Linked DNA regions of Drosophila melanogaster. Changing the gene in region 3 together with the main gene of any one other region gives a genetic interaction. Each region holds a gene or a part of one and is shown on either strand. Other genes may lie near its edges.

Region 1 (6,046 bases), on a different chromosome or scaffold from region 3:
CGAAGATGGGCATATCGACTCGACTGTTGATACTGATCAATAATATATATGTATGTATATATTTATATCGCTGCTCTACTGACTTTTAACAGAAGTCAGTATACCCTCTGCAAGGGCATGCAAGCCCCTCGAGGGGCGTGGCGAGGCTAGTCTTTCACGCCGTCCAACGCCCAGCGATTTGCATTCGCCATATTTCAAATTAGCAATTCAACATTTATAATTAAAAGTTGTGCAAACATTTTGAGGCATTTATTGCATAATTGCGTTCGGAGGTGTGTGGGTGAAAAAAACCGAGTTTACCGACATTAATCGGTGGGTTTTTGTTAAATCCTTGTTTTTATACAATTAATTAATATCCATGTGGGTTTGGGTGGCGAAAGGGGGTGGGGAAATAGGATTATCATTTTCATTTTAATTGCCCGGAAGTCATTTGTTGATGTAGTTGATGTTGCTGAAGGAGGAGTTCTTGTTGAGGTTTATTTTCAAAGCAGCTGAAAAACAAATAGAATGGATAATTTCTATTTGTTTGTAAAGTTAATGCATCCGCAAGCAAATAAAAATTCTCCCACCGACTGCGCTCTAATTTAATTATGAAGCGATATAGTTATTTAAATCTGATAATAAACGCTCCCCTTCATTTTCGACACTCGTGTCATTCATTTAGCAACAATTAAATTTAAACCAGCACGATATGGGCTCGACCCCAGAAGCTCGAAGGAGGTGCCTCCCAACGAAATAAACACAATGCCAATGTGGAGCTTCCCGTCCTCCGATTTGCGCTTCCGTCTGGGCGGCTTGATTTGGATTTATCACTTCACTTTTATTGCGCTCAAAGTCGACTCGGAAACATCAAATTTTAAACAGCGATGGCAAATTACAAGCCATTCAAAGCAATTTCAACCGACTTCTGAACAATGCAAATAACTCTACCAATCAATGAGTTGCGTTGCCTGCACGAGAAATAACTTACTGATTAGAAAGTGATTAGCCGCACAGAACTTTTTCGTATCAAAGGCGACCTAGTCCCTCAAATTTCAGTTAGTCATTCTCGGGCAGCGTTGAATAAATTAGCGAAGCAATTTTGCCTGCATTGGCTGGACTGGACCAGGACGCGAACTCTTTACTCCTTCAACTACATACATATGTACTATATGTACATATGTACATATATATGTACACACAAATGAAAATACAATTAAGAGCGACATTTATTATCTGATTCATTCCACTTTCACATATAATTATCACCAGATTTGTGATTGTGATTTCGCGCTTTTGTGCGGGGTGCGATGCGGAAGCGTCTTTATATTGCTCAAATGCATACGGGTAAATTAATGAAAGCTGGCATGGGTTAGTCGCTGGGCTAGTCAGTAATTAACGAGAGAGACTAGTCGTGCTATTTGCGTCTAAAACAACTTTAATTGACGGATATTATTCTGACTGCTGTTGCCCAGATGGTCTCTGAAGGTCAAGTTCTTAGTTAACGAATTCTATGACAGACTTTAGAACCAATAGTAACAAAGAAATAGAAATTGTATACCTTAAAACACATATGGGCTTATAAATGATCGCGAATGTTAGACTCAAGCGCTAATAATATGTGGATCCAATTCGGACAGTTTATAAAATATCTTTTATTTCATCGCCATTGCTTGTTCGCTATTCAAGAGATATATGGAGTTATATAAAATTACTACGAGTACGTCTTGTTCCGCTGGGAATTATAAAGTTACAATGTATAACAGTATATAAAGTATTTACATTCTTGATTACCGATCTAGCCATACATAGCCGTACATATCTTAAAGCCCGCACGGCTCGCTTTGTTGATTTTTTATCCTATTGCATTTTGCCGCAAGTTACATACCATTTGAACCTATTATTTACAAGCTACATTTAGACCAATTTATATATACAAATTAAAAGCTTTTATTTATGTTTTATTATCTATTATTGATGCCATTTGCTCGCATCTTTTAGAAACCGCATAAAGAATTTGTATTGTAACTCTAAAATCAAAAAGCATAAGTCTAATAGTTATCTTTTTAAAAAAATTTAGAAACTTTAAAAACAACCAATTATTAATAACAATAACACAATATATGTACATACATTTTTGATTTTTATGGTAGACCTTCGGAATGCTTATGAATCTTCAATTAAATGTTGAACTTTATAAGGTAATAGACAGTTGTGGCGGTTTAGCTGGCCTCTAACTGGTTTAATACTAGTTTAAAGCAGCGTCATTGATCTTCATAAATTGTTTATGGTGTCACAGAGCAGTATATCCACGTCACATCGGTCTCCCACTGAACAAAAGTTCTGGCTCTTCAAAATTCACAACACCAACGCGGGTTAACATCTATAAAGCTAAAGTTCCAACGAGAACACCTGTGGGTGCCGAGAGCTTTTGGATTGAATCGCAACTAAACCCGACCGAATGCGGCAAACGCTGATGATGAACTCAAGCGAGCTCTAGACAAAAGTGCGCCAAGTTCGCATGAAGCGGCACAGAGAGCCTATGACCAAGTAATTAGCAATACAATTGAGAGGGTCTCACACAACGGCCATAATAATGCTACGCTCGCCTTCACAATTATTAAGCATAAAACCAGATTTTAATTGATACAACTCATAACCACCGTTTCGAAACGAACTGTATTTTGTTTGCCCCAAATGCGTAGTTATGTGGAAGTTCGAAATATCTATCTATAGAAAGTCAGTTACATCCCACACTGGCCGCGCTGCTTTGAGGGCCCTGGGTGTGCATCAACCTGGTCAGACTTGGAACTTTGCTGGTAAACCAGACCGTCTACGCCGGGAATGGTGTTGCATCCCACGCAGGCGTGCAATGTGTCGTGAATGAAGATGTCGCAGTCAACGCAGAAGAACTGCTTGCAGAAACCGCATCTGAAGACGACTTTATCGGCGACCTTGTCAACGCCTTGCCCAAGAGCTTTGGCGCAGCCGTAACATTCCCTGACATCGCTGGTGAGGTCGGATGACGAAGCAGGCATCGCCTCAAACGGCAGTTCCTCAAAATTTGGCACCGGGAAAAGGTGGTGGTAGGAACGCGCCAAGTGCGGCGCGGAGACCAGGGTGAGGCCGCAAGACTGGCACTCCACGGGCAGCTCGCAGTACTTGCTGTTGCATTGCGGGCAGTGGTGGCCAGTAGTGGTCAGTTCACTGGGCTCCTCCAAGTTCTCTATGTGGCACATGCACATGGACAATGGCGCGTCCTTGCCCTCAACTTCATTCTTTGTGTGCGGGAAGCCCATGCGAATAAGCGAGTTGTGCTGAGTCTTAGCGGCGGGCGGTGGATCTACCTGAGACATGAGTTGATCCCGAAAATGTGCATCATCCAAAACAGCCCCGAAGGTGCCCATTGTTTGCTGAGTGAGGTAGCGGGCCACGTGAATCTCAGCGGACAGGGAAATAACCGAGCAGCGTATGCCCTCCTTTTTTAACTCGTCGATGGTGAGGTTAATATCGACAGGATCACATGTGGTGAGCGAGCCCATGATAATGACGATCTCTCGGGAGGCGTGCGACGGCACCACCTTAAGCGATTTTAGGGCCAGATCTAGGCCATTTTGCAGCGAAGGCTCGCTGGTCAAGGACACGTTAGCCAAGCTAAACAAAAAGGGGATATAAATGGAGAACGCTGGTTTGATTCGGTTCTTACCTCTCTAGCGCTTTGAGGTGCACGCGCGAAGTGCCGGTAAGTTCGGTCACCTTCTCCGCTCGCTTAGCTTTTAGCGCTATGAGTCCTAATTGGCTGATGGGGTTCTGATCGAAGAACTCCTCGATAAACAGCTCCAGCAGCTTGACGGTGCACCGCAGTCGTGTGGGTTTCAAATCAGGCACGCTCATGGACTCAGAGCAATCGAGCACAACGAACATGTGGCGCATCATGCCCAGGCGGTTCTGCTTGGACTTTTGAGCCTGCCTCTGGCGTTTGGCCTTCTGAATGATCTCTGCAATGGCTCCATCCAGCATCCCATCCTCGTCGTCCTTGATGGCCTCCCTAATAGGATTAAAAGTAAGTGCGGGCTTACATTGTCACGCACACCATCGCACCATGTCTTTTCATAGCCCGTTTCCCAGCGGTACTCCTTCTGGTCCTCTTGCTCATCGTCGGCCATACTTGCAGTCCTGATGCACTACCAAGTCAAATCAAGAAAGAAAAGCAATTAACGCTAAATAAAATGCGCCGGCTAATGTAACAGTGTGTACACACAGGGCCTACGTTAAATACAATACACTGGGTGGCAACCCTGGGTAAGTATTTATATCAATAAATATCTACAAAAGAATGACATAATAAAATGAAATAATAAAAAATAATTTCGAATTTCTTACCTAATATGAACAAAAAAAGTACAATATTATTATTATTGCGCCCAAAGTTGCCACATCAATAAATATACCCACCACGACGCGTAATTGGCTAACTAAGTGCACCGCCACACGGGCGAACTGAAAAGGGCGCTACACCCTAAGTTTGGGCACTTAAAACCGTGCAAGCATTGAAACCCGCGTTTTATATCATATACTATATTCGAAAAAACCTTCGAAATCTTAAAATTTACTGGACTGCAGTTAGTTTAAAGCTATCGACAGGCAATACACTCCCAGTAATATTAGGATTTAAATAGCTTAGCACAGAAGAGCATTCTAAGGTCCGCACAGCCGGAACCAAATCATCTCTGGACAATTTCCGTGCAGCCGAATTTCGCTTTTGGCATTCAGAGTTCGCGCGTACAACTGTGAGCAGCAGTGGAGCTGCTCGTGTTGAAAAATCGGGAGTCAGTTAAATTAAAATAACCGTTTGAAACAACATTCAGTTTGATATTTATCCAAAATTGTTTATGAAGGTGTGTACCAAAGTGTTCTAGAGAAATCTTTTAATTTAATGATATGTGGAATAGGCTTATTTGCAATCATACCTGGCCTATATCTAGTGCCTGCAAGGTTTAGCGGGCAAAATGAAATTGTGAACTTTGATATTATTTAAACTATATGTAATCCTTTTTTTTAAATGAAAACAAATAGGATCGAACCATAGGGTTTTATTTATTTTAATTTTTAGCTGTGTTGAAGTTCAAATGCATTTGTAACAGATAAGTTTAAGTAACTAATAAAGTCGCATTACGCATAGTTCGTGCTTTTCTGTGTTTTATTATATTATATATCTACAACAGTGCGGCAGGCTCGTTCTTTTCATAATGTACTTAGTGTTTTTTTTCGGCTGCCTAAGCGCCGCTGCATTTTGCCCATTGCAGATGTACATATGCTTGAACTCACCATATCGGACACACACCGCAGACAGCGACCGTTCGCGTTGCCACCTGGTTCAAGTTAGCACAAACACACCACGGCACTGTACTTTTTCTTCGCCGTTTACCAATATTTCAAAACCAAGCAATAACAAATAATAAGACTCCATTCAGCACTATTTTTAAGTCACACTTTAAATGCTCTCTTCAAAGGCTTGGGCGCTGGAGTCGTGAATAATGTTGGCACAGGAGATTTCACCTACGGAAATCGGCAAACACGCAAACATTATAAGAGGTGAGTGACTAAAAACATTGGTAAATAATTTTTATTGTTAATTTTGTGTTCTGCCCTGCAGCTGCACAGGAGGAATTGGCAAACATGGACGTTCTTGTATGTGGACGATGTCTCCGGGCCTACAACTTCGTGGAAGAGTTTCAGGCCCACAAAGAGGACGCCTGCGAAAAGGAAAATGCAAATTTGAAGGAATCGCTCGATCCCAAGCCCACCATCTGGGCTTTTACGCTATGGAAAGCTACTCAGCTGCACTCGCGCAAGGACGCGTCCGGCAGCTCGTGGGCCTTGTACCAGCATTGGGTAAAACTAGACGATAGCGTCCGCGAGCCGTGGATTGTGGCTGGGAAGACCATACAGTCATTCGGCAAAATTGCACACGGACAACTCCAGGACATGCCTGTGCGAATAACAAAGACTGTGGTCAATCCAAACAATAACAACACATCAAATAGCAACAACAACAACACGAGCG
Region 2 (6,046 bases), on a different chromosome or scaffold from region 3:
GGCTTTTATAGTTATAAAACCTTAAATCTTAATTAAACAAAGCATAGTTCCCTTTGAAATATATCTTAATTCTGAACATATTTGTATTTAAAATTGATAGAAAACTTAAATGTTTGCACTAACACAAATATATACTGATGCTAATTTGCCAGGATTTATTGATTTAGTGTTTCCTTTCAGTTTCCTTCATAATTAGCCTATTAATCAACTGAACTAACAGTGCGTATACGTATTTTGAGGATTGATTGCTCGACTTTAGTGGGTGATGAATGCGATGCAAGTCAGAAATCAACTAAAGTTTTTTTGTGTTTGAGGATGTAAAAAATACAAAGCCATAATGTGGCGATGCCATTACCGGTTATTTGTGTTGGTTGGATGATGAATGACAGTTTTTCATGCACAAATACGGCGTCTTTTTTAGCATAAAACCTTTTTACAGTGTTTGCATACGAGCCGCGTGTGTTATTGAATGGAAATGCTGTCGGTTTAGCACAAACATGCATACATATATGTATGTATGTACATCGCCGCAGCGTCACTCCAAATTTGTTTGCCAGTTAATCGCACTGAGGCGCGTTAATCATGGCGGTGTGTTAAGGACGAATAAAAGGTGGTGGTGCTGTGGATAATTTTGGTGGCTACGGGGTGGCTCACTTAACTAAGGTGTGGTTGCAGATTTGGCGAGTTGACACCTTTGACGTAGAGTTGCCGCTGAAGAGGCGCTGATGAGAGGGGATGGTCGTCAAGGGGCTAACTTCCTAGTGACCTAGTTTACAAACCTTCGCACACATACACACACACAGACTTTAAACATTAATTACGTCGGGAATTCTGCACAAATGCGACAAATGCTTCACTTCACTTCACTGCCTTCCCACCTGCTCTCTTCATACCTACACAGAACAAAAAGGAGTGATCGTAGATGATGATCGGTTTACTCTTCTCAAAAGCAATATAAAAAAGATATAGATTTCAGATTCTATGAAAGATCTATGCATCTTGTCGGCGAAAAAACAAAAATATATCAAATTTGTATTGAAAAATAATTTTAACAATTTAATTTGAGTTAGAAAGAGTTTTGTGGTACGATCATTGTAATGACCATCAATCCGGGATATCATTTTAACTATTATTTTCCTGTACTACAACCAATAAATATCATATATCATTCTTTCCTTTCTTTCTTTTATTTGTACTTCTCAAATCATTTTGATTTCACTTGGCTTAAAACATACATATATTTCCACTGACCATTCATCACTTGTCCATCTCCTAGAATCTTTGAACCATGAGGGTTTAATTTTTTTTAACATCCCTGGGAATTAGCTGCTCACATTTTTGCAAGTGTATTCTCTCCGCCTCTCTTCGCGGCACTCTACACCTTTCTATTGCCATCTCGCTCACTTTACACTTCACTTACTTTGCGTATTGCCGTTTAAAAATGCGATGTTGCGGTTGTTGTTGTTGTTGTTTCCTGCTTTGCTACTACTGCTTCCTCTTCTTCTCGGCCTCCGTTTTATCCTTTGCCGATGTTTTTGTCTCTGTCTTTGTCTGCTCCTTTGCTCCTTTGGCCGGTGCTTCAATTGTTTCATAAGACGCTTCTTCTTTTTCGCTGCTCCTTTTGCTTGGGCAGGGTCGTAGGGGGTGTTGGATGGAGGGGGTGCTGCCAAAGGGGGTCAGGGGCCAAATCAGTGTTTGTTGTTGATTTGGTTGTTGTTGTTGTTGTTATTGTTGCTATTATCGCTGTCGCGGCGGCGTTGTTCAAACATAATTTGATGACTGCGCATTACAATCGATAATCCCATGCACAAATGCAGCTCAGCACATCGGCATTGCCTTAAATCCATTTTAATGAGAACGGATCCCGATAATTCCGTAATCCCCAAATGATGGCAATTCCTTTGCAGGTCCTGCTGTCACTGCCTTTTTTTGCTGTGCTCTCTCCTCCCTTTTCTTTTTTATTTTTTATATATGTTTGTTGCACTTTCACAAATAATTCGAGAAAAAACTGAGATGTGAGGGGCGTGAGCTTTTTTTTTGTCAACTTTGTTTGAGTTTGCGGTGTGTTCTGTGTAACTGTGCTATATGCTATATGCTATGTATATTACTTTGTACAACTTTTCTACATTACTATATCAGATTTACGTTGAATTCCTTATCAAACTAGTAAGCTTCTGACTATGAGGGGCATGAATTATTAATGTATTCGTTTTATTTCACTTGCTTTCTAGCTGTAACACACTTCACTTTATCAATTCCCGCACCGTAATTCCATTTAACGCGTATTTCTTTTTGCAGGTATTCAGTTCTGCGGGAGTTATATCTTATGCACAGAGTGGTGTTTTCGCTCCTGCTCCTTATTTGTCTATTTTTTGTACAGACTTTTTCGCATTGTATTCGGGGGATGAGACGCGAGAGGCTCCTGCTGTGTTCGTTGTGTTCCACATGTATCCGACGACTGGAACTCCATGACTGACATTTACGTTTTCGCCTCGCCAGGACGAAAGCTTAGAGCACGAGAGCTTTTCGGTGGGAAAGCTCGTGCTTCCGCTTTTCCACTTTTCCAGTTGCCAAGTCAAGTCGGGTTTTTTGAAGTTTCGCTTTTTCAGTTTGCTGGCCAAGTCGAAAGTCGCGAAACTCTCCGGGCAATTACGTTTACTTTGTGGGTGGGTGTAGCGGGGTGTAGGTGGGTGGTAGTTGGACGGTAATTGGGGGTTGGGCGCAAGGACGAGGGCGGGCTTAAGGACACCGGTTTTATAGAGTTGTCAAATGGCCCCAGGAATGGCCAGTCAAAACATCAAAATTCACTCGCAATTGGCCAAGGGCAATGCGAAAAACCAACAACAAGGAGCAAGTGCCACTAGGCCAACCGGGAAACAGGATGGGGGCATTGTTTTGAAAGCGAAAGGCCATAATGCTTGCACGCCACAATCCCGAGCCGCAGTCAAAGCCAAAGTTGAGTTTCATTTTTGGGGTCGCGTCGCCTCATCGAGCCAAACATGCAAACACGCACGGGCCAAAGCCAAAGCCGAAGCCCAAGGAAGGCAAGGTGAGGTCCTTGTCATTTAACTCACTTGTCGAGTTGACCTTTGTTCGCTTGGTTGCCGTGCTCCACCATAGAGCTAATGCCCAACTGCCACGCCTTGAGCTTGATCCATAGCAACTTGTACTTTTGTGTCCCCTCGCAAAACCCCCCCCCAAACCGCTCGACAAAAAAAGGGGAAACCCTGAAATATACAGCTAACCCCCCTTCACCAAACACACTTGGCTCTAAATACAAACTTGCCCCCCCCTGCTGATGGCCATGTGCATGTTTGATGAGCTTATCAAGGCTCCGGGATTATTGAATATTTTCAAATCGATATAGCCGTGCCAGCCACACCGTTAGTTGGCACCTTAATTGCCAACTGAATAAATCATTGACAATTTTGCAATTAGTTCGAGAACCTCAACTGTCCGCTCAAGTCGAAGGATTCTGCGGTCAAAAATAAACCATTTGCATTGGCCCAAAAGTAGTCAAGCCAAGAAATTGGAAGTTTTCCCATCGTCGACTTGGGAAATCAATTACTCAAATATTTATGTCCGCATGTGGAATTCGGGTATGCTGAAATGCACTTGTCTTGAACTCTGCCAGTGAATAAATGGCAATCGAAATTGCTGAGCGGATTAAATAACTTTCAGATGTGTGAATACGAGGGCATGGGTTATGGCCTATATTTGCACTGCCGTATAGGTTACAGAACGCACTTATTGTTTAGATATTTGAATTGATTTCATAGACAGTTAGAGCAGAAACGGCACTAATTAAACCAAATCCACTCAAGAGCAAATTGGTAAACAGCAGTTTGAAAATTAACATTGCGCAATTGTTATGCATTGATAAATTGATGATTTATTTATGAATTTTCTGTATTCCAATGTTATTTTGGCATAGGCCAGCTATTATTTTGAACTCTGATTTTGATTTCTAGTTCACTCTAAATTCACGTTTTAATTACATAAAATTATAAATGTTTTCAGTGAAATATTTAGCGAATTTGCTTTGAATAGAACGTTTATTTTATGTTATGGTAATCTCCTAAAACTATTCAATAAAATGAAAGTTATTATTGAATGGGCGATTTAAAACATTTGCAGGCACAGCTGCAATCAGCAATCAACATGAAATAGTGTGATAATGTTAATTGAAAAGATTGTGGCTTGTTATGGATTTCCATGAAAAGAGAAAAAATGCATAATGTTTTATTGTAAATATATAAATATATTCTGTTAAAATGAAATTATAAGTTTTTTAAAGAATAGTATATTTAAATAAGCATAAGATTACGGAAGTAACTGCTTGACAACCCTTTCATATTGGCATGACATTTGAATTCAATGAGTCTGCATAGAATTCGCAAGCAAAACCCTTGCCAAGCCATAGAATTAAATGTAATTACTGAGCCAACATTCGGCCCCAAGTTGGCAATGTAGATGCCCCACTGTCGTGGTTGCACAAATGCATCCGACCGAGCCAAGAGTAACTACCACAACGAATGTGGCAACACTCAGGCATTGAGCAGGAGCAGGGTTCAAGTTTCTCTTTGGCCAGGAAAGAACCACAAAAGATTACCGAGCGATGAGCTGCAGCTCATCATCTTCACATCCTTTCAATGGGCGCCGCTAAGTCCTTGGGCACATATGTATATGTATGTATGTGTGGTATGCACAAATATGTGTGGAACGTTTCATTTTTTATACATCCCTTATTATTATTTCCACCGCACCCCCCTCTCCCCACGGTGCGCTCAACTTTTCTTCTCTTGTTTCGCTCTACCTTCTTTTTGGTTTTGTGTTAAATTGTTGCGTTAACCAAGCCAACCAGCTTCGGGGGCAATCCTTGTAAAAAGTTTAGCATAGCAGAAGGCGCACACAGACATGCTCGCAGCCATTCACACAGAGCCACCAACACAGTCGCACGCCTGGCATGCGTTTTTCACATTGTTTCATGCGGTTGAATAAACACAGGCGCACACACACACGCACATACCGTCAAAAGGCACGCACACACACACACACACTCATGCATTTTATGATCTGCACAAATAGGACCAAGAGAGTAAGAGCGCGAGGGGGAAAGACACACAGAGAGAGAGAGAGAGAGAGAGAGAGAGACGCAAAGACACTTATTCGCTCGCTTGCCTCGACAGGCTTACAAAACAAACATTGCGGCATGTTTTCTGTTTGCACACACTGCGTATACGTACCATGGTCCTTACATTTCCTACCTGCGCTTTGTCAGTGCCCAGCAGCACCAACACACCGACACACTACCTTCCACACAAACAAATTGCAGTCACGTACATATGCACATTACTCAGTTCGGCCTGGACAGCAGTTGTGGCACAGTCCTTAACCCTTGATCAGCTGGTAGATTTTAGTTTTCATCGTCGGATGGTAAAAATATATGTTGTTGGTATTATGTCATTGTATTGATATAAATAATATTTATTAATATTAAGCAAACAAAACAACCCCAAAGGTGTCTAAAGTATTTTACAATCGATTGTAACTTTTTCTTGAAATATGATTATGTAGCATACTTTTCAGGAGAGTCCTTTTAGGGCAGAACTCATCGCGCTCTGAAAACATATCTCGATCGTAGTGAGTGCTCACTCCATGTTGAAACTGCATCTTAAACAAGTTTAAATTTAAATAAATACTTTCAGAAATGAAAAATCACAAACTAAGCAAACTGATTTGCTTGATCTAATTTCAGACGCCCAATTACAACATATTCTTTAGGGCTACAAAAACTTGTAATTCGAGTCGCCTGAAAGTTTAAAATGTTAATTTGATGCACTGGGGTGGGATGTCTGCCAATCCCCAATGTTTGGGTTAAAAGTGAACTAATTTACATAGACCGCATGGTACAATGCGCAGGCGGCCGCATGGAGAAGGTAACAAAAAGATTCATTAGGGCCAATCAGTGCAAAGCGAGTCGTGGCGAAGGACATGCGGAGAGTACCTGGCCAAAAGCGGCGGCTTGACGGCTGGTCTGGGTGGT
Region 3 (6,046 bases):
AATAATATAACAGTGAAAATCTTAGCTTTTATCAGGATGGCGACGTGTTTACCTTCACCGTCTTCTCATACTTGGGATCCTTAAGCATAGCATCCGGTATATTAATGGAAACATTCCTGAGAGCCATAATGGTCTGAGCCCGCTCCATGCTTGTGTCGAACGGCGGTTGGCACATCTCGAAAAGAATGATTCCCAGGGTGTACATATCAACCTTCTGGTTGTACACAGACTTGGAAGCATTTCCTGTCAATTCGGGAGCCACGTATAGAGTGGTGCCGACCTTACCAGTACCAGTGCCGTCTTCCGCACTGGTTATCTGGTTAACAGGCGCAGGCGCTGCGTCGTGGGCTTGGAGAGCCAGAAAACTGGTGGTGGCCAGACCAAAGTCACCGATCTTAATCTGATCGTGCGAGTCCAAGAAGATGTTAACGGGCTTTAGGTCCCGATGGATAATGCCTTGCTGGTGAATATGCGCGAGACCCTCGGCAATCTCCCGAAATAAGCGCCACAGACGATCCGTGTCATTGAAGAGATTGTCATCGATGGCGGTGCTACAGTATTATTAAATAGTTATTTAATTAGTTATTTAATTGGTGAAGCTTTCGAAAAACATACCGCAATGTGCATTTCTCACAGAACTCCATCTGGATGTACATGACCTGCATCAAAGGTTTTGGCGAATTGGTCTTGCCTCTGGTGGAATCCTCCTGCTCTTCGTCGTCGTAGACAGCCACCTTGCCGTTGGAGTCCACAAATTCAATGCCATCCGAATCAGAGTCCTCCATGTTGGGTCTGATGGATACGAAGAGGTGTTAGCGTTAATTCAAATTAGAGGAAGCATAGAAGCTAATTTTTACATGTAACCGTTCCACATGCTGGATGAGCTGTCCTCTTCATCCTCGTCCTCCTCTAAAGTGGGCCCCAGCTGTGGTGACTTGGCAGGTTTTACGCTAAGGTCCTGCTGACTCTGGGACCACTCACCGCCCAGCAGCTTATCCATCTCAGCGGCATCTGCGTCATCTACACTTTCTATCCAACTGTTAAAGTATCGAACTACATTCTCATGATTCAGCCGCGAAAGAAGCTCCACCTCGCGCGTCATCTTTTTGTACAGCTGGCGACTCCTCGCGGGCAATGGTATGCGCTTGATGGCGTACTCTCGGTTGTCTAAAATGTTGCGCACCTTTAGCACGTCACCAAAGGCACCCTTTCCCAAGTACATGAGCACCTCGAATTCCGTTCGCAGGCGGGATTGGCTTAGGGCCAGTGTCGGTATCTGGTACGGCATGGCGGATCCAGTGCGCTGGACGGTGTTAGGATGTTGCTGCTGTGGTAATGGCATCACCTGCTGCTGGCCATTGTCGACGTAAAAGCGTAAGAATGGATGCTCCAATAACTCTGATGCGGAAAGAGTTCGGTCCGAGTTACACCTAAAGAAAACATTAAATTAAAAAAGGATTAAGTTTTCATTACAATTAATTACTTGTCTACAAAGTCGCGCATCTCGTAACTGTTAGTGGGCATCAAACTCTCCACCAGGGCACCTAACGCGGGTAAGTCCCCGCAACTGCTGCTTTGTCCAGCTCCGCTCAGAAGTTCTAGAAGATTGGGAACGAGCGAAAAGTCTGATACCCTCACATTGCCTGTGTTGTCCATAAAAACAGTGGTGTCGAGCAGGTGACTATGGGATACACCCTTGTTGTGAAGAAATACTAAGGCGTCCAGCACGCCGCGCGCAACCATTCGTGCGCCGTCCATGCACCAGCCAAGCGAGGAGGAGATGCTGAACACGCTGGTGCCAAGGAGGAAGTCTTGGACCAAATACACAAGTAGACCTTCCTTTCGCTTGATGCACAGTACGCACTCGTACGAGACGAGGTTTTTGTGCTGTAGTTGGGACAGTGAGGACACCTGCTTTTCAATGGAGGCCATCACTTCGTCCACACGATGACTGCCCATGCACTTTGACTCGCTGCTCCAGTGGCACTTGCCTCCGCCGATGCATGGCTGCTCCAGTTGGCTGTACTTGATGTTCCATTCTGTTATGTAGAGCAACTGGCCGCAGTGCATATCTATGCCAGTGTAGGCGATGCAACCTCGTTGGGAGTGACCTAGGAATTACGCACAATAAATTACTTAGTTCAGACGCATTCAAAACAGGAATTCTCTTTAGGAAAGCGAACCCTCACCAACGCAGCATCCACGCTGAATCTGCCTGCCCATCTTGTGGAAGTAGAGCGTCTCCGTGTTGCGGTGATCCAGGCATTTGGAGGGGTAGATGTGACCACGATAGTAGGGCGAGGAGTTCTCGGAGCTCTCCGACGAGCTAGGATGCCGTGGGTTAGACTCGCTCATGCTGCGCCTTGGTTCGCCGCGCCTCTTAGCCTCCGTTTTGAACATCTCTTTGCGCCGCTCCACCTCGTCGATGAGCGTCTGGCGTTGCAGGGACTCCCGCTGCCGCTGTATGTCCTGTAGCTCCTGGTCGCGCTTCTGTTTATCCTGGAGCATCTGGTCGTAGAATGATCCCTTTGGTGGTTTGTTGTGTTCGAGGAGAAAGGCCTGAACGGTCTGGGCCAATTCATAAATCATCACTTCGCCACGTAGCTCTTGGGATTGAGCCTGCAATTGGTTGCGTAGGGCCTCCAGCAGCTGATCCGACATGCCTTTGGACTCCTCCAGAGATATCTTAGGGGGCCTGCGGAAAGTTTGGTTTACTTATTTTGAGTAATGCATTCCACATTCTAGTGGTTAGTTCTATAGTTTAAAATTCAGTTTTTTAAGAATAAGTGGAACTGGGCTCTTACAATTTTGGATACTTTGATGGACAGGTGACGTGCAGCTTGGTGCACACATAGGTTTCCAGTCCGTTCGAGGAGTCTCGAAGTGGGGTAAGTTGTATCCGTATGTCCGTTGGCTTCCACAGGGAAGGATTCGCCTGGGGTCTTAGGTCCTCCACATCACAGCCAAAGATGGACTGTTCCAAGATAAGGAGATAAGCCTTTAGTATCAGCTTCTTGGATGAAACACCTGCTCTGCTCACCTTTATAACCTCCAACTCCTGCGCTTGCCGCTCGCGGAAGGATTCCTTGGCCTTTTCATCCGCCATTTCTGCATTAAATCTCCGGTTAGTGGATAAGTCTTGGCTACATCTGGGTGCTTTGGAATACTGGATCGGAAGTTCCTTCGGATTTCCCACCGGGTTATTTTAGCCGGTGTGCAATTTCACAAACTGCGCTGGCAGCTGTTTCCAAATCAGCTGCGTGCTGCATTACTTTGCTGCTGTATTCGACTTGAATTCGATGTGAAATGAGTTACTACGCGAACTCCTGCCGTTTTTGTTGCGTAAAGAGAACAACCTGTTGCGCTTTCCACTTAATTTTCCGGAAAAAGAAAATTTTTTGCGTATTTTGTACTGAAGGCTAGTGGTGCACAAGTGTCGATAACAAGCCTGAAAGTCCAATGTTGGCACTATCGATACTTGGCGCCAACGTTCGACTTCGTTGTCTTTTGAACCGAAGAATGACAATGGTCGGTTTTCAATAAAATATAGATAAGTGTTTGTTTTCAAACGTAGGCCTTGCCCACAAAGAGGCCTATTCCCATGATAACTAATTGAAAAGAGAAGAAAACTCCTCCCACTGGGATTCCGCGATAAGCGATTTAACAGCACTCTTCACTGTTGACATTCCTTGTTGGTTTTGCTTATCTAATTGAAAATTTGACAATTGTACTCAAAGCGCAGCGGATTAAGGTTATCTGAAATGGAAATAGAGTTTTCATTGGCGATCTGCAGCATTCAGTCTTCCATTTCGTCTAGAAGGCAGAACTTGCCAAGTGCAACAATGCCGCCAATCTTTCTGCTCGTATGTCTTCTTCCTGGTTACTCGGAAGGTGCTCGCATCCTGGCAGTGTTCCCTTTGCCAAGTTCTTCGCATTACTTTTTCGCCTTACCCTACCTTAAGAGTTTGGCCTCCCTGGGCCACGAAATAACCAGTGTAAGTCCGTATCCACAAAGGGAGCCGTTTAGGAATATACACGATATTCCAGTTCCCGAGGTTTTCGAAAACTTTAATGGTGAGATGAGATAAATAAAGATCTGATTTGTCAAATAGAAATACTTACGATATTTTCCAGAGGTCCTTAGGATTGCATCTACTCCCAGGAGCACCTGGCAAAGTAGTGATTTCATCAACGAATATGTCCTTAATCTTACGAAGACAGTGCTGAATAACGAGGGCGTAAGGCGCGATATTCTAGGCCCACAGAAGCCCCATTTCGATCTTGTGATAATGGATCTCTGGCGAATGGACGTGCTCAGTGGCCTGGCTGCCTATTTTGATGCCCCGATCATCGGAATGGCTTCCTATGGCACCGACTGGAAGATTGACGAACTGATGGGCAACGTCTCACCGATTTCTTACCTGCAGTCTCCCTCTTCTCGATTCTACGATCTGGAGGCCTATGGAGAGCGGTTGTTGCACCTGATGGAGCGAACTTTTTCTTATATGAACTATAAATGGCGACATGTGAGAAAACAGGAGACTCTCTATAGTCAATTTTTCCCCAGCGTCGCTGAGCGGAAACCCTTGTCAGAGATATCCCGGAACTTTGATTTGGTCCTGGTCAATCAGCACTTCACACTGGGTCCTCCTCGTCCTTATGTTCCGAATATGATCCAGGTGGGTGGTCTGCATGTCGATCACAGCACAGAGGCTCTGTCCGCCGAACTGGACCACTTTATCCAAGGTGCTGGTGAATCGGGGGTAATCTATTTCTCACTGGGAACCAATGTCAAAAGCAAATCGCTATCCGAGGATCGTCGAAAGGTATTGCTCGAGACTTTCGCCAGCTTGCCACAGCGAATCGTTTGGAAGTTCGAAGATGAACTGCTGCCAGGAAAACCCCCCAATGTTTTCATTAGTAAGTGGTTCCCGCAGCAGGCCATCCTGGCCCATCCCAATGTAAAACTCTTTATAACCCACGGCGGGCTACTGAGCACTATAGAGAGTATTCACCATGGAAAGCCCATGTTGGGGTTGCCCTGCCTATTCGATCAGTTTCGAAATATGGATCATGTCCGGCAAGTGGGTCTTGGTTTGGTCCTCAACATAAAGCAAATGACCAGTGAGGAATTTAGGTCTACAATTATACGGCTGCTAACGAACAAGAGTTTCGAAGAAACGGCAAGGATCACGGCTGCCAGATATCGGGATCAACCAATGAAGCCCATGGAAACGGCGATCTGGTGGACCGAGTATGTCCTGTCTCACAAGGGAGCTGCTCACATGCAAGTCGCCGGCAAGGACTTGGGTTTTGTAAGATACCACAGTCTAGATGTCTTCGGCACTTTTTTGGTTGGCGCTTTAGTTATCCTGGGAATTGTTACATATCTGTTGGTTATGACCTTAAGGAAATGCCTCTTTTTAATAAAAAGGGGTAAATGTGAGGCAATAAAGAAGATTCAGTAAAGTTTTTTTTAATGTTAATCCAATAAACTTTTCAAGTTTAATGTTGTTTTACTTACTGGATTTCAATCATGAAATGAGTTATTTGTCTTTAATCTCAAACTCTACTTTTAGACTGTCGAAATTACAGCTTTCAAAATTTTCTAAAATTCTAAAAAAAAAGAAAAAAAATCTTCACCATGAACAGACCTCCGGCGAACAAAAAGGATCACGTAGTGTTGGTCGCTCTTACAGATTCCAGGAGACGTGCTTACTTGGATGATCAAAGTCTGGAGAGTGACATCAGGATCTTGGACCACAAGTCAATGCTGTTGAGGATGCCGAAGAACACAACTAAGCCTGCTAACTCGATGGAGCCTCCTCGTTACTACCGCCACTTGGAGTTCGACGGTATTGGTTATGAATTTGATAGCCATATTAGGACAGAGTTGGGCGATATGCTAGGTCAGATGTTTCGTCACCGTCGCAATGGAAGTCTTCTGCGGATCTCATCCCAAAGAAACCATAATCCCAGCCTCTTGACACGTCTCTTGGTCACTGAAGTCGACTCACTGATGGTCGAGATGCGCTGCCGCCTAAAA

What was found.
Region 1: of Gcn2 (region 3) and slif, changing one suppresses a phenotype caused by changing the other (phenotypic suppression), as found in Drosophila melanogaster (one study listed by BioGRID).
Region 2: of Gcn2 (region 3) and GABA-B-R1, changing one suppresses a phenotype caused by changing the other (phenotypic suppression), as found in Drosophila melanogaster (one study listed by BioGRID).

The regions. Positions count from the first base shown.
Region 1 is NT_037436.4:22,877,465-22,883,510, reverse strand, and holds the start of slif (slimfast), read right to left. Parts: upstream 2,467-6,046; 5' UTR 2,113-2,466; intron 1-2,112. Other genes in the region: Ssl1 (suppressor of stem-loop mutation), read right to left, coding at 2,724-3,633, 3,686-4,027, 4,081-4,145; Chro (chromator), read left to right, coding at 5,517-5,574, 5,636-6,046.
Region 2 is NT_033779.5:15,012,771-15,018,816, reverse strand, and holds the start of GABA-B-R1 (metabotropic GABA-B receptor subtype 1), read right to left. Parts: upstream 2,487-6,046; 5' UTR 1,421-2,486; intron 1-1,420.
Region 3 is NT_033777.3:31,393,051-31,399,096, reverse strand, and holds the start of Gcn2 (Gcn2), read right to left. Parts: upstream 3,438-6,046; 5' UTR 3,107-3,437; coding exon 3,041-3,106; intron 2,975-3,040; coding exon 2,805-2,974; intron 2,696-2,804; coding exon 2,184-2,695; intron 2,112-2,183; coding exon 1,484-2,111; intron 1,431-1,483; coding exon 858-1,430; intron 793-857; coding exon 616-792; intron 552-615; coding exon 53-551; intron 1-52. Other genes in the region: Ugt35D1 (UDP-glycosyltransferase family 35 member D1), read left to right, coding at 3,843-4,074, 4,135-5,468; CG31204 (uncharacterized protein), read left to right, coding at 5,645-6,046.